Linked DNA regions of Saccharomyces cerevisiae S288C. Each later gene encodes a partner of the first gene's protein in a complex. Each region holds a gene or a part of one and is shown on either strand. Other genes may lie near its edges. A codon is read from its position in the direction of its gene.

Region 1 (10,370 bases):
ATTGGGGCGAATACAAATTTAACAGTTGTTCTCTATTATTATCCCATAGATTCAAAAAGTTAGTTGCAAAGTCTGTAGATGATTGCCCTAATGCATCGTTTTCGAAAAAAAACTGTTGAATCTTCATCGGTAATGAGTAAACGGTTTGCAATTTTTGTTCGTCTCTCACAATCACGTTATCTAGTACAACCAATTTCGGAAATAATCTTAACATTTCAGTGCGATACAACTTATCGGTGGTTATCGGGTTATTTGTCATCAAAAGCTCTCTTAGATCTTTGAATTTGTTCTTCCAAACTTCTAGCGATCTAAATCTAAAAATCTGATTGTTGGCCAGACAGAGGTTTTTCAAATTAGGAAATGTTTGAGCCAATGTGGAAATTGCTGAGATGTCCTTAAGTTGGTTGTCAGCAAGATTGACACTTTCCACTATCAAACTTTTTTCTGTAGAAGCCAGTTTCATCATTGCTGGAAACATCTTAGACTGGGTGGAGATGGAACTAAAGACGCCCTTTTGAATTAGCTCGGGATCTGAATGTAAAGCGCCCAAATTTAGTAATTTTGTTTGTGGGTCATACCTCTTAAGGAGCACCCCCCTCAAGAACGAAATGGTGTCTGAAGTTCCCGCAGAGGCCCCATTGTTATCTAAAAGTTCGAACTTTAAATTACTGCCTGCAAACCGGACACCGTTCCATTTCATTAACGATTCTGCTTCTGCCTTTGAGTTGACATATCCAATAACTAAAGGTCCTTCCACATGAGCGTCATAAACAGCTACTCGAGCGTTGCGGCTTATAAAATTAATCAAATCGTTCATGGTTGCATTCTGCCAGTTCCTCACGCTAATCTTTATTCTATTTTGTTGCATCTGCTGTTGAGCCATCATATTGATATTTCCAACATTGTGAAATCCGCTCATTTTTTTTGCTGCTATTAGCGATGCAGAATTTTTAACGATTTATTTTACTCTTCCTTCTTAGAGTAAGTATGTCTTCAACAGTCTGTTACTATTTTTTTTTCTACATACTCAATTCAGCTCTTACTGAAATTTTCTTCTGGAAAAAAAAGGAAGACGGGTAATGATGATCTTATATAACAGTATAATCTGTAGGTATATTTATCGTTAGAATCCTCTACGAAAGGCAAGTGGGCATGGATTTCTAGCTTTTGAAGCCGCGTTTAAGTTTCTTCAGAATTAATATTCGTAGAAATTTTCTGTTCTTTGCTTCTTTTCTGAGCTTTGGTGGAATAAACTTGGTTCCATTCAACTTAAAGGAAGGAGGAAGTACTGTTCAAAATGACAGTTTTATACACATCTGCATCGCTGAAAAAAATGAAGTGCTTGGCATTCAACATGGGCATGAATTGCGTACGAACAGTATCTCATGCAAGAAGTGGAGGTGCAAAATTTGGAGGACGGAATGTATTTAATATATTTGACTCAAAAACTCCTGATTCAGTGCGTATAAAGGCCTTCAAAAACACAATATACCAGTCTGCCATGGGCAAAGGTAAGACCAAGTTTTCTGCAATGGAAATTAATCTCATAACAAGTCTAGTGCGCGGATATAAAGGAGAAGGTAAGAAGAACGCGATAAATCCTCTCCAAACTAACGTGCAAATTCTTAACAAATTATTACTAACACATCGATTAACAGACAAAGACATATTAGAAGGAATGAACCTGGCAGCCGGTCCTGTCAATGTTGCTATTCCTCGAGACATAACACCGCAGGAAGAAAAGAAGAAAGTTGAACTAAGAAATCGAAAAGCAGAGAATATGGATCTTCACCCGAGCAGGAAGATGCATATTAAGGAACTTCTACACTCTTTGAACTTAGATATGTGTAATGATGAGGAGGTTTATCAGAAAATATCACTTTACTTACAGAAAAATGAGGAAAGCAGGACTTCAGTGGGTGCCTCGCAACAAAACCACGTAGATATCGATATAAACTCCCTAAAACGCTATCTACAAAATATTGAAAAGAAGGCACGTCAAAAAAGTGCCATCGATAAACAAAAAAAGAATCAAGCTCGTATATATCAATGGAATACTCAATCCTTCTCCGAAATAGTACCCTTATCAGCTGGAAATATCTTATTCAAAAGGGAACCCAATCGCTTATGGAAACGTTTACAAAATGGAATAAGTGTATTTTTAGGTTCAAACGGAGGAGGAAAAAAGAGTAAAACTACTAAAAAAGTACTTCAAGGGAATAACATATTGTTACACTCATTAGAAAACAATAAGGATATGACCCTGTCAAACAACTTTGATCACAGTGTCTTTAACATCAATTTTACGGACTTATTTGGCGTTATTAATGCATCTGGGTCCCCACCAGATAGAGTTTTGAACGAAATTAATGAGATCGAATTAAAAGGTTGGAAATGTGTGGGGAACTTATACGATAATAATAAAATTGTAGTTTTTCAAAGTAGCAATCCACTCTTAGAGGATACGAAGATTCCTCAAAAGTCTTTCACTAATTCAAAGAGATTCCTTATTTCACTCTCAGCATTGCTGGCCTCCTTTTTTGCATATTATAGATACCGTCTATCTCAACGTCAAGAATCAAAGAAATGATTTTTTTCTTTCTTGTATATAACAACGTTATACATAGAAACAAATAACTACTCATCATTTTGCGAGACATATCTGTGTCTAGATTACCAATCATTTAGAGATATTAATGCTTCTTCCCTTTGAACAGATTGATTATCTCTCAAGTATCTTTCTGCTTTGACACGAGAGTAAAATACTGGACAGTCATATGAATTGCATTTACTAGCTATATGGTCATTTTCGATGCCTGCATCGGAAGTGTAACGATAACTGCACGTCCTGCACACGGTCTTTAGTGTTTGGTATTCTTTTTGTCTCTTTAATTTCTTTATGAGAAATGATAAGGTTGTGGTGCTTCTTTTCTCTAAACAGTCATCACATAACTGAAGTGAACATATTTTAGTCAATTCTTCACCACAATTACAACATGTTGCAGAAGTTCCTACTCTTGTTATGTTTTCCACTTTTGTAGTAGTTGTGCTCGCCCTTTTGGATTTTACTATTTCCTGAGCCCAGTTGCCAACATTTATACCAATCAAATTGAACAATCTATCAAGAGGAGGTATCAGAATTTTGTTTATATAATACTCCGAATCTAACTCTAAATTCTCACCTTCTAAGAACTCTTCTGGTGATACGCATCTTTCCCGAAGCAGTTGTCCTTGCTTTCCTTTAACAACAAGGTAAGGTATACGCTCCTTGTATTGGGGTTCTGCTCTATGGTCTTCATTTATTCTTCTTTTTACAACCACGGCACCTGCAGGGGCTGTCTTTTCGCTTTTATACGCTCCTAATTTAACTTCTTTTGCAAAACAAAAATCTTGGGCAGATACCTTTCCTATTTGAATCTTAAAAAATTCATTTTGAAGATACTTTTTTATTTTTGACAGGTCTTTGGTTTGAAAAAGTAATCGAATACATTTTTCAATAATCTTCTGCTGGGCTGGGATACCATCCCTTCTAACAGTTTCAATACCCTTAGCATCAAAAATAGGAAGGGTCTGCGAAGGACTTTCATAGGAAAATCCTACGTACCTTTTTTTGCTAATTAATATGGAGGGATGGTATACTTTTTCAAACTTCAAAAAGATTGGTTTTGGATTGTTTTGAGTAACTCTTTCTGCCATAGCATGTCCTATAGAAAAAGCCTCAATAGCAGTTTTTCCAGGTAGATATACAAATAAACTATCTGTGTCTCCATAGACAACTTTGGCGTTCCAAGTTTCATCTTTCTCAATAATATCTATTGCTTTCTCCAATGTTTCTCTGCCTGTTTGTACAATGCTATCAGCTAAATCAGAGCATGGCATTCGTCCAGAAAATGAAGCTGATGTATAACCGTAGGTGACATTCGCCAATAATTTTAGTGCTAACTGTTTGTTATTCAAAAGCCTTTTTAGGGTAGTGTTGTCATCACCTATTTCGTTCATTGTTTTCTTTATCATCACTCTGACATCAAGGATATCTGTTAACATTTTGGATAACGTTGATTTTCTAACAGAGGTCTTGGCATAAACAACACCATTTGGAGCGATAGTTACATCATTTTTTAATAAAGCTAAAATGTTTCTTGGTAATGAAAACTTAGATACTCCAAGGTTATTTTCCGTTAAGTTTATTTCTCGCACTCTTCCTATCATAGTCGAATAGCAATAGTTGTATCCAATCATAATGGATGGATACAATGATTGGAAATCCAGCACAATTAAAGGACTTTTGTAGAAAGCAGATTCTGGCTCCATAACCAAAGGCACACATTCAAGTGCTTTTTGCTTACGAACATCCTTTTTGCCTGGAGAAAGAAGGATAAAACTTTCGGACTTGCATATTCGGATTAAAAAAGACTCAACTTTAAATTGTGATCCTCTGTAATATACAGAATGGAAATCTATTCCTATCAATCTTGCCTGTTCGATATTTCGAGCAATGTAATCCTGCTTTCTTAATAGTTGTATATTTATCTGAGCTCTTGATAACCAATAATTTAACACAGTCTTTAATTCGGTTGTGCTCTTTTTAGCGTTCCACATATTAGTTAATGACTCAAATGAAAAGTGAGGTAATCGTTTATGGAGGATATTGAACGCAGCACTTTCAATAGTATATTGCGTTAAATTTACGTCGGACCTCAACGCTCTCCATATATTAATCATATGTCTTCCGGTAATCATAATTCCTGAGGAATGGGCATATCCCCAAGTATCTGACAACTTCGTCTTAATTTGGCATTTGACTCTGGCAAGTTCCCTGACAATGTCAAATTGATGTATTTTTTGACACCTTTCAATTATATAACCCCACGAAAAATTATGTATTTCGAAACCGGAAAGAATATCAGGATCAAGAAGTAATACCAAATCAGTTAGAGCCTCAAACATTTCAAATTCACTTTCATAGAACATCACGGGAATTTCGTTAATACAATGTTGAATTTTAGTAGGAAATGTACTATCCTCAGAAGCTTTGTGGACTATCATAATCCCTTCGTAAGCGATATCCAAATCTAAAGGGAAAGTTTCTTCTTCAAGACACCATATAATCATGGAAACTTCATCTATTGCAGGGTCTGGAATTTTATCACTTCTCGTGTTTGCATGAATCTCAAGTGTCAGATGAGTAAGAGAATCGTGAACGCTACTTTTTTTTCTTTTTTGTTTTCCAGAAACGTCACTAGCAAATTTGTATAAAAACTTACTATGAGGGGTGTGCATGCTTATCTGAGACTCAGTTTTTTTGTTTCCCATCGAGGGTACTTTATTGTACCATTTTTGAACAGCATCATACGTAGGTGGTTTTAACGCATATTTCCAGGAGGAAAACATGTCGAAAGTTGGCTTGTTATAAACTGATACGGTCTCTCCCCCAAATTGGACGGGTATTCTCGTTGATACATGTGTCGAGCTTATTTCAAACCTCTTACCTGCGTACGCGTAAGGTTTATTTTCTAGATCAACTGGATTCGAAAAGAAAGGGTCCTTATAGTCTATTTTTGGGAATCCCTCGTCTTCCAATTTATTCAGAATATCTTGATAACCGAAAGGAGGCTCACCATAAACAAAGGCTCTTTTTCCATAGCGTAATCCCGCAGCCATAACCTTCTTTCTTTTCCGAGACAGCAACGATGTTTTATTAGCAGAAACAGATGATCTAAGTTTTCGTTTACTTGCCATATTTTGCGTCATAGCACAATCCATTGAAAAATTTATCGTATTGTGATATTTTGTTTGATGATCTAATAGTATAGTAGAATCTTTCGGAGACGCAATGCTTTCCGGTAACCATGAATAAGACCGAGACTTTATATTGCTTCCTTTTACACCTTCGTTCTCATTATCAACACCACATATCTCGTATTCGGTGAACGATGCATTAACTTGGTCGTCGTTCTTTTTATCTTGCATACTATTATTGTTTATTTCAATCTGTGGAAGCCTTGGCCACAATTGCGGTAATGCTTCATAGGGCGTATTTATGGCTGAGAATTTTTGATTCTTATCTATAAAGTTCTCAAAATTTGGTATTTGACCATCAAAAGTACTTGTTTTATGTTGTGCTTTCTTATAAAACGCTTCGAACTCTCCAGAAGATTGCCATTGATGACCACTCACATGGCGCTTTGTTTCTGGTGGTTCTTTATATTCCTTCAAGGACAACTCCTCTCGTTGCATGGTAAGTTCATTTATCATGTCCCTAGCAGAGGATACATATGGTTTGACAGGTATGTCAGAAATATCTCCCAGTTTTTCCAAAAAGTCGTGATGTATATCTCTATGCTGTAACTTTTCTCTATTTTTGATGAATTGCGGTAGTATATCTATCTCAATCAATCCATTTCCAACCCGTGGAAAATCCCTTCTACTGAGTACGTTACACTTGAAGTCACAAAATCGATCTAGTAACAACTGAAGATCATCATTAATTGTCAGCTTATCTATGTCCAGTATACTATTTAAAACAGGAGAGCGAAAATAACACCTATCCACGTTTATCCATGAACATCCAAATAAGTTAAAATCTGCGGTCCATTGTAGCAAGTAAGGAATATGTGATTCATAAATTTCGAATTTCTTTCCGAAAATCTTGCCATCTCTAATCAATTCCGAAATCCTACTTAGACAAGAAGGATTAAGCAAAGAAATTTTGTAAAACAGATTCCAGCCAACGTGGTAACCATAAAATGGTATACCCTTTACAACAGAGACATCAGCGACAAAATTGAGATTTCCAAGTTTGTCGCCGGCTAAATCGTGTTTATCATCTTTTTTCCTTTTAAAGGATGCCCTAATTTTTACTTCCAGCGTTTTATGAACTTGGGCACATCTTTGGTGTCTCAATGTACTCGTGTCAGTTATTTGTCCATCATACTTGATGAACATGTAAGGTAGAATGCCATGGACGTGGCACAATACTTGATGCCCTGTGGGTAAAGCACCAAACACCCTGATGTTTGGGACCTGTGAAAACTGGTTTAAGGGCAGGCTTTCACCGTGCGATGGGTCCAAAAAGGTGGGTTTTGACATATAGTAGTCTTGATTATTTAGCTGGATTCTAAAATAGTCTGATTTAGAGGATGATCTAACCGTATCGCTCTGTATTGTGTCGTTCGACTCCCTCGACATTTCCAAACATTTTATTTCGCCACAACTTGTAGTTTTGTATTGACTCAAATACTTTCTCTTGTTTTGTGCTTCTATTACAGAGATGGCTTTTTTCTTCAAGTACACTATTTCTAGACGCACTGCACTCGTCAAAAAAATGATTCAAGGTGAAAATAAAGGGGTGTTAGTGAATACTTATCAAGAAGAGACATACATAATTGTACTGCTGTGCATTTTCCTACTTGACTTTCATGATTATGAATAGTACAAACACAGTTGTATATATCAAAGTTAAGGGTAGGAGACCACAGGGATTCTTGGATCCTCCCAAATTTGAGTGGAATGGAACAAAGGAGCGACAGCTTTGGACAATGGTATCAAATTTGAATTATTCACAAGATCAAATAGATTGGCAGAATTTATCAAAAATATTTGAAACGCCTGAATTTTTTCTTAAAAAGAGAACATATAAATTATTTGCTGAACACTTAGAGCTTTTACAACTACAATTGGAGAAAAAAAGAGATCTTGAGAAGTATTCAAATGATCAAGTGAATGAAGGGATGTCTGATTTAATACATAAATATACCCCTACTTTACAAAATGATAATCTATTAAATGTATCCGCAAGCCCACTGACCACGGAAAGACAGGATTCTGAAGAAGTTGAGACAGAAGTAACAAATGAGGCGTTACAACATTTGCAAACTTCCAAAATTTTGAACATTCACAAGAAAACATCGGATAGTGAGAATAAGCCTAATGACAAATTGGATAAGGATGGTATTAATAAAGAAATGGAGTGCGGTAGTTCAGATGACGATTTATCTTCGAGCTTAAGTGTTAGTAAATCTGCGTTGGAAGAAGCGCTAATGGACAGATTGCAATTCTGATTTACATCTTTCACAAGCACAATCAAAAAACCAACTGTCGGCCAAAAAGGCCCGGCGTTTTACTGTTGGTAAGTCCAGTACCCCGGAATAATCGATACAGATCTGCTCATCCTTTTTTATATCTCTATTCATAGTGAATAGCATTGAATTACCTTTACGATATTTCGTTATATTGGGGTTACAAGAGTGGTTGAAATAGGAGGCTTCTGGAAATACCCAGTATCCAAAATATTCTCTGCTGTCTGAGGCTTCGCCCTCTTGCCATAAACCAAAAGCATTCCCATATTCAGTACCTAATATATGTCTCAATAGCGGTATGGAGAGCATTCTATGCAAATGTGAAGGTAATAGAATATAGAGTGTTTGAAATACTAATTTTTGAAAGTGCAGTAAGACAGGAAATTTAGATATTTTGCTAAGCTCATTCGATTGTAACATATTGAAAGCTCGGTATGTTATGCACTGAGGATCCATATATTTAAGATTAAACAAACTCTCGCACACAAACCTAATGCAGCAATATTCATCTTCGCAAGTGGGTGGTAATTGATTTATTCTCTTCGCAGATTTCATGTTGTTGATGCGCGGTATCCATTTACTTTCAATCTCATCCCATGAAGACTGTATGACATTTTCCGAAATTAAGATAGAGTTTAATTTTTCCTCCTGTTCAGAGGTATAATTATATCTTTTCAGCATGCTTGGAAAATGATGCAGTAATATCTCATAACATTCAATTAATTCAATGATATTTGGTATTTGAAGATAAGAAGTTCTGCAATGTTCTGAACAGAACCACAGTCCAGCGCCCAGAAACTTCTTAGGGTTAATTTGGTAGTGTGCATTACAAACCAAATCTCTCAGGTAATCGTAGTTTAGTTTGTACTTCATAGTTTTCGCATTAGCGTATGCGAAACAATTGTGACAAACTTCCTTCCTGAACTCATAGGAAATAGATGTTCCTGTAAAATTACTGACTTGCAAGACTGTTGTCCCTTTAGGAATATTACCATTACTGAAACAAGCCCTACCGCCCCATTTAGTTTGCCTAACCTGGAAAAATGGGGAAATTTCATGTACGTCTCCATCAATAGTCATTTTTAAATTTTAGGTTATTTTGTGTTTGCATATATAAATGGTATATATATATATATATATATTCATATAAATCTAGGGCTACATTTATAATATCAGAGATACATAAAACGGTAATGCAACAGTGGAGCAGTATTGTATCGCACGTTTCTTTTTTGTTTTTGTTTTTTAAATTTTTCCAGGTTTTGACAACGTGATGAGGTAATCTTCTGTTTTGCATATCCGCGCAATTTAAAATGCAGGCGACAAACCTTGTTCCAGGATTAAGGTTCTCTTTACTTCAATTCTGCAATGGGTACCATAGAAGGTCTCCCGTGGGCGCATTCGAATGGGTTATGGCATCGCGAGAGCTTGCTAATTAAAATTATGCACTCTTGCCGGGTTAATTCATCTCCAAACATAACAGCAGATCTGCATGCCTTGCTGTTAAGAATTTCATGAAAGACCGTTGGAACGCAGCTTGAGTACTTCCACCAATATAATTTATCAACCGAAGTGTAGTTTTCGAAATGGGATAAATCCATTGGAAGTTTTTTGAAATCCTTCAGGTCATGAGCATGTTGCAGCAAGACCATTTTTAAGTAGTCTTTATCCCCGTTATATTTGGAAGTTAACATCTCAGGCAGTGTTTTAATTTCCAAAAGTGAGGTTTCCATTGTTCCCTCAATTGTTTCATAGCCAATTCCCCACTTTTTAAATTCACTTTGATAATGCTTAAATAAGTCAGCCTCAGTACGATCAACTTCAATGCAACAATCCTTGAGGTCTCGTGCAACAAAAGTTCCGGTTACAACTTCTGTCAACAGGCTATAAAATAGCTCTTCTAGTCTTATCCTCTCATCGCAAGCATGTTGATCAACTAGAACTAATAGTGGGCAATTATGAATAGATTGGTCTAAACAACGTATGAGAATAAATTTTTTATCTACTTGATTAATCACTTCATATTTTGCCAGGACAGATCTTGATATTGAAAAATCTGTTATGGTTTTTCCTATACTGTCATAATCTTCTGTAAAACCACTATCGTAGGGCCTGGAAGAGAGTTTATTCCGTAACCTTGATTTCTGACCGTCGATTCTTATATTCTTGATTTTTTCGTAGTTTATTGTACTATTGTTTATTCTACATCCATTGACAGCGGGTTTTCCTATGTATGAATTAATGCGTGCAATCTTCATTTTTGAATTTAATACTTGATTACGTTTACTGATT
Region 2 (6,971 bases), on another chromosome or scaffold:
TCATGTGAAAAAGATAAATTATAGAGAACCGGCAGGGCATGCTCCACTGACAACCCCGTGGTAACAGAAATTAAATTTTGATTATGATTAAATGGATTGTAATATTTATAATAGCCAAATGTACAAGGTGTATATTGCAAAGAATATGATATGGCAGGATATACGTATTTGTTCTATACAAAATTTTCTAAAACAGTATGACACTTGAAAACACCTAGAAAAATTAGGCGCGGCAATGATTACTCGTCGTCTGACTCATCCTCATCGTCTTCAGAGTCAGATCTATTATCTAATTCTTTGCTTTCTAATAGAGCTTGTAACTCAGCGTCTTCAGTAGCAGTGACAGCCTTTGGTGGCATGGTAATGTTGCAAACACCGCCGTATTTTGTAATAACCTCTGTAATTTTTTCAATAGCGCTTTCCAGTTGTTCAATACCTTTTTGCTTATCCAAGGCTTGGGTGGTCAAAACATATAATGGGGCGGCGACTAATTTAACTTTAACTTGCATTTGTTCTGTGGACATGTCTTCAGCTGATTTTAATGCGTCTTTAATGGCATCGATACCTTCGTAACTAAAACAAGACACTTCAACATCGGCTCTAATCTTTACAGCTTGTGGTGTTAATCTCTTGGAGATATAGTTCTTTAATTCATCTAAAACATCTTTTGATGGCGGTTCAATACCTTCCCAAACAGTTTCGTCAATGATGGATAGTTTGAAAGCTTCGTAAGCGTGACCAAATTTTCGACTTAATGGCCAAGCAATGGTCTTATATAGTTCTTCCAAAGGGATTTGGAATTTTTCGGCACAGTATCTTAAAATGGAATGAACAGTCTTAGATTTTTGGTATTTTTCTTCACATTTAATGATATCTTCAGAAGAAACACGACGTTTGGACAAATCAATATAACCTTTTTCTTTGTCGACACGAAGAACAACGGCGACATCATTTTTACCAACACGAATTAATTTTTGGATTGACCTAATACGTCTACGGGACAATTCACTTAGTAGAATCATACCTTCAATGTTGTCATATTCTAACAATTTAACATAAGCACCCATTTCAGCAATCTGCTGGACGTTAACCATGACGATATCGTCAATTTCTGGGTATTTGTTTTCATAAAATCTGCAATGAGAAGTGGACATTATTTGGTGTATTATAGAAGGTGCGTGAGGCAGCAGAAAAGACACAAAAATATGAAGACAAAAACTGATTAGTAAACAGATTGCACTTTACTCTTTAATGACCTAGGAAATAAACAATGGTTGAAAATTTGTAAATGCGATTTTATACTACTATTTCATCAGATTTGTGCTTTCTCTTCTTCTCTTTTTCGCCTCTTCGAAGAAAAAATTTTTCTCCGACTGCGGGTAAGAAAAAACGCTCATAGTTTTTCTACCAGCTGTGACAAGAAACGTATTTTGAGCTGAACGATGAATGCTCACTTTTACATATAAAACTTAATTGCATATCTATGTGGAAATTATTCCTTGTTTTATTTAAATGTCAATCTTGACCGTCTCTGCTTCTAACGTTTCCAAATCCAGTAATATTATCATCCCAGTAGAACTGAATTCAGGGACAGATATTATCTTTATGTTCTTACCACCTATTTCCACTACTCTTGTTCCAAAATATGGCTGGTTTGCCACAATGTAAACGTGGGGCCACTTATCCAATACAAATGGATCCTTATCAGTGTACGGATAACACCATAAGGTATCAGGTGCGGTGGGCGCGATGTTTTGCCATTTCATTGTACATTCCATAAGGTCCAGGCGATGCTCTATATCGTCTTTGAAATCATTACTCTCGCCCTCCTCGACCTTGTTTTCACTTTCTCCGTTATCATTTGATGGTATTACGTATTTACAAATATCATTGATATTTTTGCCTGAAACGGCTAGAACGTCTACGCCATTATAGCTAAACTCATATGGGTTGGTCACTAAATTCAAAATTTCTTTGTTAGAACCGTTGAAGTATGATTCTAGGGACTTATCAAACAATGATTTGTGGAAAGGCTGTTGCGGTAGAGATTTGTCACTTGGATCATTGGTTCCGGGCATAATATCAACAGATATAGATGGCAAAATGTTGTGTAGAAATTTACTGAACTCAGTTAGAGAAATCATCAATTCGTCTTTGTTCACGCTTTTAATGTCGAAGTCAACAGAGTTGCCGCATATCAGTAATCTACCAATTAGAGAAATGTCGTCAATTTTGTTATTGATTCTCCCCATCAAAAATTCTCTCAAAATCTCCAATCTCAATAGCCTATCAGGTGATGTATTATTGAGGTTTAACCCAGAAACAAGAGCAATTTTTCCCCTGGTGGGGCAGGTAGCAATTGGTGCAGGGAAAGGATTTTGTGGTAAAGGAGTGGGGTAGCATATGTCTAAAACTTGAAATGTCCCGGCTTCAGCTTCCATACCCAGTATACCTACAACAACACCCGTGATGAAGGGTGTAGACCGAATAAAATCTCCCACTAGAAGCACTCTCCCACTTTCATCTTCGAGCATAATTTCATCAGAACCACCCTCTTTATCAGTATAACTTTTAGTTAAATCTGGTGCACCATATGTATCATTGATCACTTCGTCCAGTACGTTTGGTTTATATTTCATCTCGCAATATATGGATCCTACGCACCAACATGGTTGGTTTCCCTGAATATCTAACACTTTGTCCTTTTTTAGAACTAATTGGCCATTCAAGGTAAAGCCCGCATCCCATCTCTTGTCACATTCTTTTAAGACGCGTTCTCTGAAAGTCTTTAGACGGTATTGATAAATGTGGTAGTACTGAGAACCGTAGTCACGTTTTTTATAGCATAGTTGGAATGGATTCGATTTGTTGTAAAGATTGTCGTCAACAATTCTTACTCTCGTTCGTGGTTGGGACAAGTTTTCATCTTGGAGACTTCTATCCTCGTTGAACTTTGTTAACAATGCGTCCATTGCCCTTCACTTCCATTTTTGCAGGAAAGATTCAGCTATAGTTCGCTTATTGCAATGGGATTTCAAAAATAGTTTATATTTTAACTTTTGAAATTAATCAGACGCGTCTGATTAATCGTATAACATGATATAAATCTAGAGTTAGTATTGGCGGCTATTTTGCTTTTCCTCTGGTTTTCCTTTCCCTTTGACACCCTTTTTGCCACTTAACTACTGTATAAGAGTGGGTAAAGCACACCCACAAAGCATTGAACGACAGATTGATATCAACAGGCTGAAATAGAACAATCGAGAATGTTGCACCCTTTTTTCCAATCTAAGCACTTGCGTACATATATATATATATATAGGATAATGTGTAGTCGTATTATTAACCGCCTTTTGGAAGTTTGCTAACCGCATAGTTGTCATTAGAAACCACCAAACATAGTGAAGAAGCGAACATGCATAATACTGGCAAGAGATACTCAGAAACTGCCAAAAAAGTGGCAGCAGGAAGAGCAAGAAAACGTAGGCAAGCTTACGAAAAGGACCAACTAGAGAAACAACAACTAGAAGCTCAAGAAGCTCAGAGGTGGGAAGAAGGTGCGAGAACCCCTAACCAGAAGAAGCTGATTATGGAACAAAAAAAGACAGAGAAGCTAAGAGCCAAAAAGGAAAGAGACCAATTACTAGCCGCCGAAGAGGAAGCTTTAGGTAAGGGAGGCAGGGGAAAAAGATACTGAAATGACGGAAAACGAGAATATGGAGCAGAGAGCAACTTTTAGAGCTTTACCCGTTAAAAGGTCAAATCGAGGCTTCCTGCCTTTGTCTGATTTTAGTAGTACCGGAAGGTTTATTACGCCCAAGAACAGTGCTTGAATTGAGTTCTCGGGACACGGGAAAGACAATGGAAGAAAAATTTACATTCAGTAGCCTTATATATGAAATGCTGCCAAGCCACGTCTTTATAAGTAGATAATGTCCCATGAGCTGAACTATGGGAATTTATGACGCAGTTCATTGTATATATATTACATTAACTCTTTAGTTTAACATCTGAATTGTTTTATAAAATAACTTTTTGAATTTTTTTATGATCGCTTAGTTAAGTCTATTATATCAGGTTTTTTCATTCATCATAATTGTTCGTTAAATATGAGTATATTTAAATACAGGAATTAGTATCATTTGCAGTCACGAAAAGGGCCGTTTCATAGAGAGTTTTCTTAATAAAGTTGAGGGTTTCCGTGATAGTTTTGAGGGGTTGTTTGAACTAGATTTACGCTTACCTTTCAACTGATTAATTTTTTCAGCGGGCTTATCATAATCATCCATCATAGCAGTCTTTCTGGACTTCGTCGAGGACTGGCTTTCTGAATTTTGACGGTCCCTATTAGCTCCAGTTGGAGGAAATGAGTTACCTACAACTGGCAAGAGGTCTTTGTTTGGATTCAAAATAGGACTTTGTGGTAGCAGTTTGGTTTTATTCAATCTAAAGATATGAGAAACAGGTTTTAAGTAAATCGATACTATTGTACCAATGTTTAGCTCCAATTCCTCCAAAACGGTGGGATCTAATTTCGTGTTCATTTCTATTAGTGGCAACTCTCCGTCCAGTACTGATTTTAAAGATTCAAAAGTTATCGCGTTTGATATACGAGACGTTTTCGTTAATGACAGCAATCTCCAATACATCAGTGTTTTATCTCTTAAGTCAGGATTATTTTCGTGATCGATGCATCCTTTTAATAAATCCATACAAAGTTCTTCAGTTTCCTTTGTAGGACTTCTGATGAAGAATTTTATTGCTGAGTTCAGAATGGAAAATTGCACTTCTAGCGTCTCACTAAACATGTTTGAGGAAAAAACTCTAAATAACTCCAGGTAGTTTGGAATTACATCCGAATATTGCGTTATTATCCAGATCATAGCGTTTTTTGATTCAGGTTCCTGTACAACTTCAGTGTGTTTGACTAGTTCTGTTACGTTTGCTTTAAAATTATTGGGATATTTCCTCAAAATATTTCTGAAAACCGAAATAATCTCCTGGACGACATAATCAACACCGAATTCTAACAAATCTAGTAGAACAGCGACACAATCGTGTACAGAGTCTTCATCTAGCTTAACAGCCAGATTACCAATGGCTCTGACTGATTTCCTTGACATTTGAATATCAATATCTGTAGCATATTGTTCCAACTCTTCTAGAATTCTTGGTAATGTTTCCTTGTTAGCTAAAAGATATAAACACTCTAATTTCGTGTCTTTGATGTATATGGGGTCATTGTACTCGATGAAAAAATACGAAATGTCTAGCCTGAGTAGAGATGACTCCCTACTCAATAAAAGAAGAATAACGTTTCTTAATACTAAAAATTGTAATTCAGGCGGCTTATCTAACAAAGCTATTACAGAGTTAGATAGCTTTTCGGCTAGAGTTTCTTTGATGACGTCAACATAATTCAACAAGTACATGATGAATTTTAAAGAGTTCAACACTACGTATGTGTTTACTTGTTGCAGGTACGGTAAAGCTAGTTCGATCATTTCATGGGTATCCAAATAATGCTGCGGCACAACCGAAGTCGTCAAAACTTCCAAAACAGTAGCCTTATTCCACTCATTTAATTCGGGTAAAAGCTCTAGCATGTCAAAAGCGAGTTCCAAGGGAATCCTGAAGGGTTCCATGTTAGCGTTTTTTTCGTGAATGGAATATAAAGTATGTAATGCAGCTACAATGACTTCTGGAGAGCTCGACTGTGCTTTTACAATGTCATGTAGAATGCTTGATAACCCCAATACCCTTTCATGATCAATTTCATCTAAATCCAACAGTGCGTAAATTGCTGTCCTCGTCACTTGTTCAGGTGGAGACTTGTGATTTACCAATGAAATGATACAGTCGAAGGCCTGATCAGATAGCTCTTTCACCGGGACTAATACCAGAGTTCTTAGTGCCATTATTTGTAACTTTTCATCTCTGCTTTTGAAATCGTCCATTATAAATGGCAAAGCCTCTCTGGCCTGCTGAGGTTTTAATGCGCCGATCACCCTAATATACTCATGGCAAATTCTTTTCACTTCTAGATCATCTTCAATTTGCCAAAATTTCAAGAGCTCAGAAAACAGAACGGACATTTCGCCATAGTTTCCTAGAACCAAATTGGCGATAATTTTTCTCAGAGCATTTTTCCTTCTTGTTATATTCGATTTAAACTTTTTTACTCCAAAATGTTGCAGATCTGTGACGATTTCATTTGCTTTATATCTGGCAAAAACTTTTTGATCGGACATAAGCGAAATACGTCCTATTAATGAAGTGAATGTTCTTGCTGTATTCCCTTCTTGTGCAGTAGATTAATTCTGTTTCCAGGCTGCGATACTTTGATACCCAATACTAAAAGTTGATGATTTGAACGATCTCCTATTTCCTCGCACATTTTTGGAGCGATACCCGGAAGACAGAATCGCGATGTTAAGAAAATAGTTCTGATGGCACTAAAGAGATCATGATTAAGGAAAGGTAAGTGATATGCATGAATGGGAATAGGCTTTCGAACTTGACGATTTAGTTCCTTATTTCTATCCATCTAATCCTCCAACTTCAATAGGCCTTATCTAGCTCAGAGCAGTATTTAATTGAGAATAGTAGCTTAATTGAAACCTTACTAAAAAAGTGTATGGTTACATAAGATAAGGCGTTAAGAAGAGTATACATATGCATTATTCATTACCAAGACCACTATGAATAGTAATACCATATTTAGCTTTTGAAACTCATGTTTTCTATTGTGTTGTTTCAAATTCCTCTGTTAGGCTCAATTTAGGTTAATTAAATTATAAAAAAATATAAAAAATAAAGAAAGTTTATCCATCGTCACCTCAATTCAATGGAGTAAACAGTTTCAACACTGAGTGGTGAAACATTGAACAACTACATGCAGTTTCCCGCCACGAGGCAAGTGTAGGTCCTTTGTCCATTTCGCTTTGTTTTGCAGGTCATTGATGACCTAA
Region 3 (5,887 bases), on another chromosome or scaffold:
ATTTTTTGCCTTCTCAGTTTACAGACTACGTGAATACAAACGTTTCATTAGAGTTTACTAATTCAAGCCAAGACCATGACTGGGTGAAATTCCAATCATCTAATTTAACATTAGCTGGAGAAGTGCCCAAGAATTTCGACAAGCTTTCATTAGGTTTGAAAGCGAACCAAGGTTCACAATCTCAAGAGCTATATTTTAACATCATTGGCATGGATTCAAAGATAACTCACTCAAACCACAGTGCGAATGCAACGTCCACAAGAAGTTCTCACCACTCCACCTCAACAAGTTCTTACACATCTTCTACTTACACTGCAAAAATTTCTTCTACCTCCGCTGCTGCTACTTCTTCTGCTCCAGCAGCGCTGCCAGCAGCCAATAAAACTTCATCTCACAATAAAAAAGCAGTAGCAATTGCGTGCGGTGTTGCTATCCCATTAGGCGTTATCCTAGTAGCTCTCATTTGCTTCCTAATATTCTGGAGACGCAGAAGGGAAAATCCAGACGATGAAAACTTACCGCATGCTATTAGTGGACCTGATTTGAATAATCCTGCAAATAAACCAAATCAAGAAAACGCTACACCTTTGAACAACCCCTTTGATGATGATGCTTCCTCGTACGATGATACTTCAATAGCAAGAAGATTGGCTGCTTTGAACACTTTGAAATTGGATAACCACTCTGCCACTGAATCTGATATTTCCAGCGTGGATGAAAAGAGAGATTCTCTATCAGGTATGAATACATACAATGATCAGTTCCAATCCCAAAGTAAAGAAGAATTATTAGCAAAACCCCCAGTACAGCCTCCAGAGAGCCCGTTCTTTGACCCACAGAATAGGTCTTCTTCTGTGTATATGGATAGTGAACCAGCAGTAAATAAATCCTGGCGATATACTGGCAACCTGTCACCAGTCTCTGATATTGTCAGAGACAGTTACGGATCACAAAAAACTGTTGATACAGAAAAACTTTTCGATTTAGAAGCACCAGAGAAGGAAAAACGTACGTCAAGGGATGTCACTATGTCTTCACTGGACCCTTGGAACAGCAATATTAGCCCTTCTCCCGTAAGAAAATCAGTAACACCATCACCATATAACGTAACGAAGCATCGTAACCGCCACTTACAAAATATTCAAGACTCTCAAAGCGGTAAAAACGGAATCACTCCCACAACAATGTCAACTTCATCTTCTGACGATTTTGTTCCGGTTAAAGATGGTGAAAATTTTTGCTGGGTCCATAGCATGGAACCAGACAGAAGACCAAGTAAGAAAAGGTTAGTAGATTTTTCAAATAAGAGTAATGTCAATGTTGGTCAAGTTAAGGACATTCACGGACGCATCCCAGAAATGCTGTGATTATACGCAACGATATTTTGCTTAATTTTATTTTCCTGTTTTATTTTTTATTAGTGGTTTACAGATACCCTATATTTTATTTAGTTTTTATACTTAGAGACATTTAATTTTAATTCCATTCTTCAAATTTCATTTTTGCACTTAAAACAAAGATCCAAAAATGCTCTCGCCCTCTTCATATTGAGAATACACTCCATTCAAAATTTTGTCGTCACCGCTGATTAATTTTTCACTAAACTGATGAATAATCAAAGGCCCCACGTCAGAACCGACTAAAGAAGTGAGTTTTATTTTAGGAGGTTGAAAACCATTATTGTCTGGTAAATTTTCATCTTCTTGACATTTAACCCAGTTTGAATCCCTTTCAATTTCTGCTTTTTCCTCCAAACTATCGACCCTCCTGTTTCTGTCCAACTTATGTCCTAGTTCCAATTCGATCGCATTAATAACTGCTTCAAATGTTATTGTGTCATCGTTGACTTTAGGTAATTTCTCCAAATGCATAATCAAACTATTTAAGGAAGATCGGAATTCGTCGAACACTTCAGTTTCCGTAATGATCTGATCGTCTTTATCCACATGTTGTAATTCACTAAAATCTAAAACGTATTTTTCAATGCATAAATCGTTCTTTTTATTAATAATGCAGATGGAAAATCTGTAAACGTGCGTTAATTTAGAAAGAACATCCAGTATAAGTTCTTCTATATAGTCAATTAAAGCAGGATGCCTATTAATGGGAACGAACTGCGGCAAGTTGAATGACTGGTAAGTAGTGTAGTCGAATGACTGAGGTGGGTATACATTTCTATAAAATAAAATCAAATTAATGTAGCATTTTAAGTATACCCTCAGCCACTTCTCTACCCATCTATTCATAAAGCTGACGCAACGATTACTATTTTTTTTTTCTTCTTGGATCTCAGTCGTCGCAAAAACGTATACCTTCTTTTTCCGACCTTTTTTTTAGCTTTCTGGAAAAGTTTATATTAGTTAAACAGGGTCTAGTCTTAGTGTGAAAGCTAGTGGTTTCGATTGACTGATATTAAGAAAGTGGAAATTAAATTAGTAGTGTAGACGTATATGCATATGTATTTCTCGCCTGTTTATGTTTCTACGTACTTTTGATTTATAGCAAGGGGAAAAGAAATACATACTATTTTTTGGTAAAGGTGAAAGCATAATGTAAAAGCTAGAATAAAATGGACGAAATAAAGAGAGGCTTAGTTCATCTTTTTTCCAAAAAGCACCCAATGATAATAACTAAAATGAAAAGGATTTGCCATCTGTCAGCAACATCAGTTGTGTGAGCAATAATAAAATCATCACCTCCGTTGCCTTTAGCGCGTTTGTCGTTTGTATCTTCCGTAATTTTAGTCTTATCAATGGGAATCATAAATTTTCCAATGAATTAGCAATTTCGTCCAATTCTTTTTGAGCTTCTTCATATTTGCTTTGGAATTCTTCGCACTTCTTTTCCCATTCATCTCTTTCTTCTTCCAAAGCAACGATCCTTCTACCCATTTGCTCAGAGTTCAAATCGGCCTCTTTCAGTTTATCCATTGCTTCCTTCAGTTTGGCTTCACTGTCTTCTAGCTGTTGTTCTAGATCCTGGTTTTTCTTGGTGTAGTTCTCATTATTAGATCTCAAGTTATTGGAGTCTTCAGCCAATTGCTTTGTATCAGACAATTGACTCTCTAACTTCTCCACTTCACTGTCGAGTTGCTCGTTTTTAGCGGACAAAGATTTAATCTCGTTTTCTTTTTCAGTGTTAGATTGCTCTAATTCTTTGAGCTGTTCTCTCAGCTCCTCATATTTTTCTTGCCATGACTCAGATTCTAATTTTAAGCTATTCAATTTCTCTTTGATCTTCTCCATTTTGCTAATTGCTATTTTAGATGCTTTCTCAACCTCATGAGAAAAAAATTACTAGATTAATATTCCTTATGTTTACATTCTTTTATACCAACCTATTATTGTTGAATCTACAGGTTTTTCGTAGTATATGACAATAATAACTCGAATTCTGCTAAGAGAACATCGTTTATAGTACTATTTTAGAAGACTACTAAATCTACGTACGATAGTGTGTTGAAATACTTGTAAAAAATCAGACCAAGGAGGCCAAGTCTCTTCTTATAGTCTTTCTGGACTCTTCATCTTGCTGGACAGAGGCCCAGATGTCGTCCAAAGATAACAAGCTTTGACCCAACTTCTCTTTCTCCAAATTAATAAACTTTTCTATCTTCTGTGGCTCGTCTGCTACAAACATTTGAAAGATTATCAGGGAAATACTCCTTAACGCCTTGTGTAGATGATCCCCCGTGGTGGTACCTTTCCTTGTAGCCTTCCGTGCCCATTGGTCAAAATTGCCCATATACCACTCCCAGATCGTTTCACGAACGACTTGGTCTTGAGGTTTCTCGTTTTTGTTCAGCCTCTTCTTAAAGTTGTAATTAAATCCGAATAATGCCAGTTCCATCCCCTCTGACTCAATATTGGAAGTGATAAAATTCAAAGTTTTTTTCACGATATCAGAATCTAAACAGAATCCAAGAGATTCTATTGCACCGTTTTGAATCAACATGGCGGTTTCGCTACTGTTTTGGTCATACATATTAATGACATGGTTTGTGATACCAGTACAGGAACTGCGTTTCACCAAATCGAATATTTTCTTCCACTGCTTGATGTTTGCACAATGTTGCGATACGACGACAAGGATTGAGTTCACTAATTCTAACGGTACGCTCGAACGTGGGCCCTGTAATAGATGTTTAAAATAAATTTGACACAATTCAGCACATTTTGCGGAGTTTTTATTTAAAAACAAGACTTGAGACATGACTTTCAACTCGTGAGGGTTTGTGCTTTTATCAAATTCACCGTGGGGCCAATCAATCTTATTGAAAAGGGGAATGACAATTTTTTTCTTTAAGAAAGATTGTAATTTAGAGCTCGTTAAACTGGCACGATCGATCGTTTGCAGAACTTCCAACCCCTTGGAAAGAGGATCCCAATATTTTGATGCAATCTTTGTGGAAGGAGAAGCGATATGGTTTAGTATCTTAAAGAGACCGTGCAAATGAATAGAATTCTGGAAACCCTCATCTCCAATAAACTGCGACAAGTCTAAGAAAATCTTCCGAAGGTCAATCTCGGATAACGTCTCCTCAGTTATTTTATCATTAATCAATGCATAGCACTCTTCGGACTCATATGAAACGCGGTAATAACCTTGGGCTAAATGGTTAATTACTAAGATAGGATAATCGAACTTTAAGGTCCTATCCGTCAATAGTACATTTTTAGTATCCATTTTACCATCTGGCAGAACCCCGAATAAGGGTACCTGATATGGGACATCTTCTAACTGATCCTTTTCTTCAGTAGATAATTGATTGATAAATCTGTGTTGAGTCAATTTTGTTTGCGTTTTCCCGTCTTTCTCTTCTACTTCGACCTTAACGACAGGTAAGCCTGGCGTTCTTGTCCAAGATGAAACAAAGTTTGTAATATTTTGAGACTTCAAAAATTTTCCGATATGATTCCATATATCCATTGGTTTGACGCTTCTCGCATGAAATGTTTTAGTATCTTCAAATACACTTTCCAGGCCCTTTTGTAGATGAGATTCGCCTGTAGCCAATTGCAGGGACCTCAGCATGATAATACCCTTTGTGTATGCCTCAGGATCAAAAATATCGGAGGTTTGAGAATCTATGCCAGTGTTCCGTTGCGCAATCTGAAATATGCTTCTTCCATTAACGTCAGCTGCATCTCTGCACATGGTCGGCTCCACTTGCTGTAGTAAATAAGGTTCCGAGGTCCAATAATGGGATAGGTCACCATTCTGTTCTAGTATGTGGCAAGCTAACCAAGTAGCGAAAGACTCATTAAACCAAAGAGATTCCCACGAGTCAAAAGATATGTAGTTGCCCATCCATTGATGAACGAGTTCGTGGACAATGAGTTGCTGTGCTTGCTCTCTGACGGTTTCATTGGCCAAGGCATTTGGTGGTATGAGCAGGTGGTTTAGTTGGATGGTGATCATACCAAAGTTCTCCATTGCCATGTCACTTAAATATGGTAGTAGGACGAAATCTAACTTTGGCAGAGGGTATGGACATTTAAAATAGGATTCCAACAAAGGTAGATATTTCTGGACTGTATCTAAAGTGAAAGCTGCATTAGCAATATCCCAAGGTGCATAAATTGAAACGGGAATAGTCCTATCACCTTCCAACTTGATTTCCGTTTTCAAAAATTCTAAATCACCAATAGAAAAACCAAATACGGAAGTAGTCATCAAAGGTGTCTTGGCAAATTTCACCAAATGTTTTTGAGAACTATCCAAAGCTTCGACCATCTCTACAGGAGTATTGGAAACGGCTTTATATTGTGCATCCGTTGCAATGTTCAATTGAAAAGTGGACTTGTTTGAAGGCTCGTCAATACATGGGAAAATATTGCTAGCGGAAAACGGTTGGCAGTGAGTAGCAACGACGTGATTATTGGCA

What was found. The genes of interacting proteins can lie anywhere in the genome.
Region 2: the proteins of REV3 (region 1) and POL31 are in contact, whole or in part, in a cryo-EM structure (PDB 7LXD), measured with the Saccharomyces cerevisiae proteins. Residues at the interface, in NP_015158.1 of Saccharomyces cerevisiae: Glu722 (codon at 5,025), Asp723 (codon at 5,022), Thr725 (codon at 5,016), Thr728 (codon at 5,007), Lys729 (codon at 5,004), His732 (codon at 4,995), Cys733 (codon at 4,992), Phe846 (codon at 4,653), His850 (codon at 4,641), Lys851 (codon at 4,638), Arg852 (codon at 4,635), Lys868 (codon at 4,587), Ser870 (codon at 4,581), Thr871 (codon at 4,578), Lys875 (codon at 4,566), Thr1423 (codon at 2,922), Thr1425 (codon at 2,916), Leu1426 (codon at 2,913), Ser1427 (codon at 2,910), Leu1429 (codon at 2,904), Ile1430 (codon at 2,901), Leu1433 (codon at 2,892), Lys1434 (codon at 2,889), Gln1436 (codon at 2,883), Lys1437 (codon at 2,880), Tyr1439 (codon at 2,874), Gln1440 (codon at 2,871), Lys1443 (codon at 2,862), Val1445 (codon at 2,856), Arg1447 (codon at 2,850); in NP_012539.1 of Saccharomyces cerevisiae: Ser51 (codon at 2,822), Gln52 (codon at 2,819), Tyr53 (codon at 2,816), Tyr54 (codon at 2,813), Tyr57 (codon at 2,804), Gln58 (codon at 2,801), Val93 (codon at 2,696), Leu94 (codon at 2,693), Gln97 (codon at 2,684), Tyr109 (codon at 2,648), Cys110 (codon at 2,645), Glu111 (codon at 2,642), Met112 (codon at 2,639), Lys113 (codon at 2,636), Tyr114 (codon at 2,633), Thr126 (codon at 2,597), Tyr127 (codon at 2,594), Gly128 (codon at 2,591), Ala129 (codon at 2,588), Pro130 (codon at 2,585), Leu132 (codon at 2,579), Thr133 (codon at 2,576), Lys134 (codon at 2,573), Tyr136 (codon at 2,567), Thr137 (codon at 2,564), Glu140 (codon at 2,555), Gly141 (codon at 2,552), Glu149 (codon at 2,528), Glu151 (codon at 2,522), Ser152 (codon at 2,519).
Region 3: the proteins of REV3 (region 1) and REV7 are in contact, whole or in part, in a cryo-EM structure (PDB 7LXD), measured with the Saccharomyces cerevisiae proteins. Residues at the interface, in NP_015158.1 of Saccharomyces cerevisiae: Asn554 (codon at 5,529), Pro555 (codon at 5,526), Val556 (codon at 5,523), Asn560 (codon at 5,511), Lys561 (codon at 5,508), Pro562 (codon at 5,505), Tyr563 (codon at 5,502), His576 (codon at 5,463), Val577 (codon at 5,460), Ser578 (codon at 5,457), Ser591 (codon at 5,418), Val592 (codon at 5,415), Asn594 (codon at 5,409), Pro596 (codon at 5,403), Thr597 (codon at 5,400), Phe598 (codon at 5,397), Asp599 (codon at 5,394), Met600 (codon at 5,391), Phe601 (codon at 5,388), Ser602 (codon at 5,385), Ser603 (codon at 5,382), Trp604 (codon at 5,379), Lys605 (codon at 5,376), Tyr606 (codon at 5,373), Ala607 (codon at 5,370), Leu608 (codon at 5,367), Pro610 (codon at 5,361), Pro611 (codon at 5,358), Thr612 (codon at 5,355), Tyr613 (codon at 5,352); in NP_012127.1 of Saccharomyces cerevisiae: Asn25 (codon at 2,174), Val26 (codon at 2,171), Tyr27 (codon at 2,168), Pro28 (codon at 2,165), Gln30 (codon at 2,159), Ser31 (codon at 2,156), Asn49 (codon at 2,102), Arg50 (codon at 2,099), His51 (codon at 2,096), Pro52 (codon at 2,093), Leu54 (codon at 2,087), Tyr57 (codon at 2,078), Glu60 (codon at 2,069), Leu61 (codon at 2,066), Asp64 (codon at 2,057), Tyr73 (codon at 2,030), Cys78 (codon at 2,015), Lys82 (codon at 2,003), Asp137 (codon at 1,838), Phe141 (codon at 1,826), Glu142 (codon at 1,823), Ala143 (codon at 1,820), Val144 (codon at 1,817), Ile145 (codon at 1,814), Asn146 (codon at 1,811), Ala147 (codon at 1,808), Ile148 (codon at 1,805), Glu149 (codon at 1,802), Leu150 (codon at 1,799), Glu151 (codon at 1,796).

The regions. Positions count from the first base shown.
Region 1 is NC_001148.4:229,920-240,289, forward strand, and holds REV3 (DNA-directed DNA polymerase), read right to left. Parts: upstream 7,189-10,370; coding exon 2,674-7,188; downstream 1-2,673. Other genes in the region: MEX67 (Mex67p), read right to left, coding at 1-919; MRX4 (Mrx4p), read left to right, coding at 1,298-2,590; ATG29 (Atg29p), read left to right, coding at 7,419-8,060; SET6 (Set6p), read right to left, coding at 8,037-9,158; mismatch repair protein MLH3, read right to left, coding at 9,431-10,370. UniProt on the Saccharomyces cerevisiae protein: Nonessential DNA polymerase. Required for DNA damage induced mutagenesis. Involved in DNA repair, mitochondrial DNA repair and translesion synthesis.
Region 2 is NC_001142.9:445,203-452,173, reverse strand, and holds POL31 (DNA-directed DNA polymerase delta subunit POL31), read right to left. Parts: upstream 2,973-6,971; coding exon 1,509-2,972; downstream 1-1,508. Other genes in the region: SUI2 (translation initiation factor eIF2 subunit alpha), read right to left, coding at 240-1,154; LSO1 (Lso1p), read left to right, coding at 3,416-3,697; APL1 (Apl1p), read right to left, coding at 4,149-6,251. UniProt on the Saccharomyces cerevisiae protein: DNA polymerase delta (DNA polymerase III) participates in chromosomal DNA replication.
Region 3 is NC_001141.2:86,471-92,357, forward strand, and holds REV7 (Rev7p), read right to left. Parts: upstream 2,247-5,887; coding exon 1,509-2,246; downstream 1-1,508. Other genes in the region: AXL2 (Axl2p), read left to right, coding at 1-1,367; tropomyosin TPM2, read right to left, coding at 2,760-3,245; TMA108 (Tma108p), read right to left, coding at 3,478-5,887. UniProt on the Saccharomyces cerevisiae protein: Required for DNA damage induced mutagenesis. Involved in DNA repair, mitochondrial DNA repair and translesion synthesis. Has a role in the bypass of abasic (AP) sites.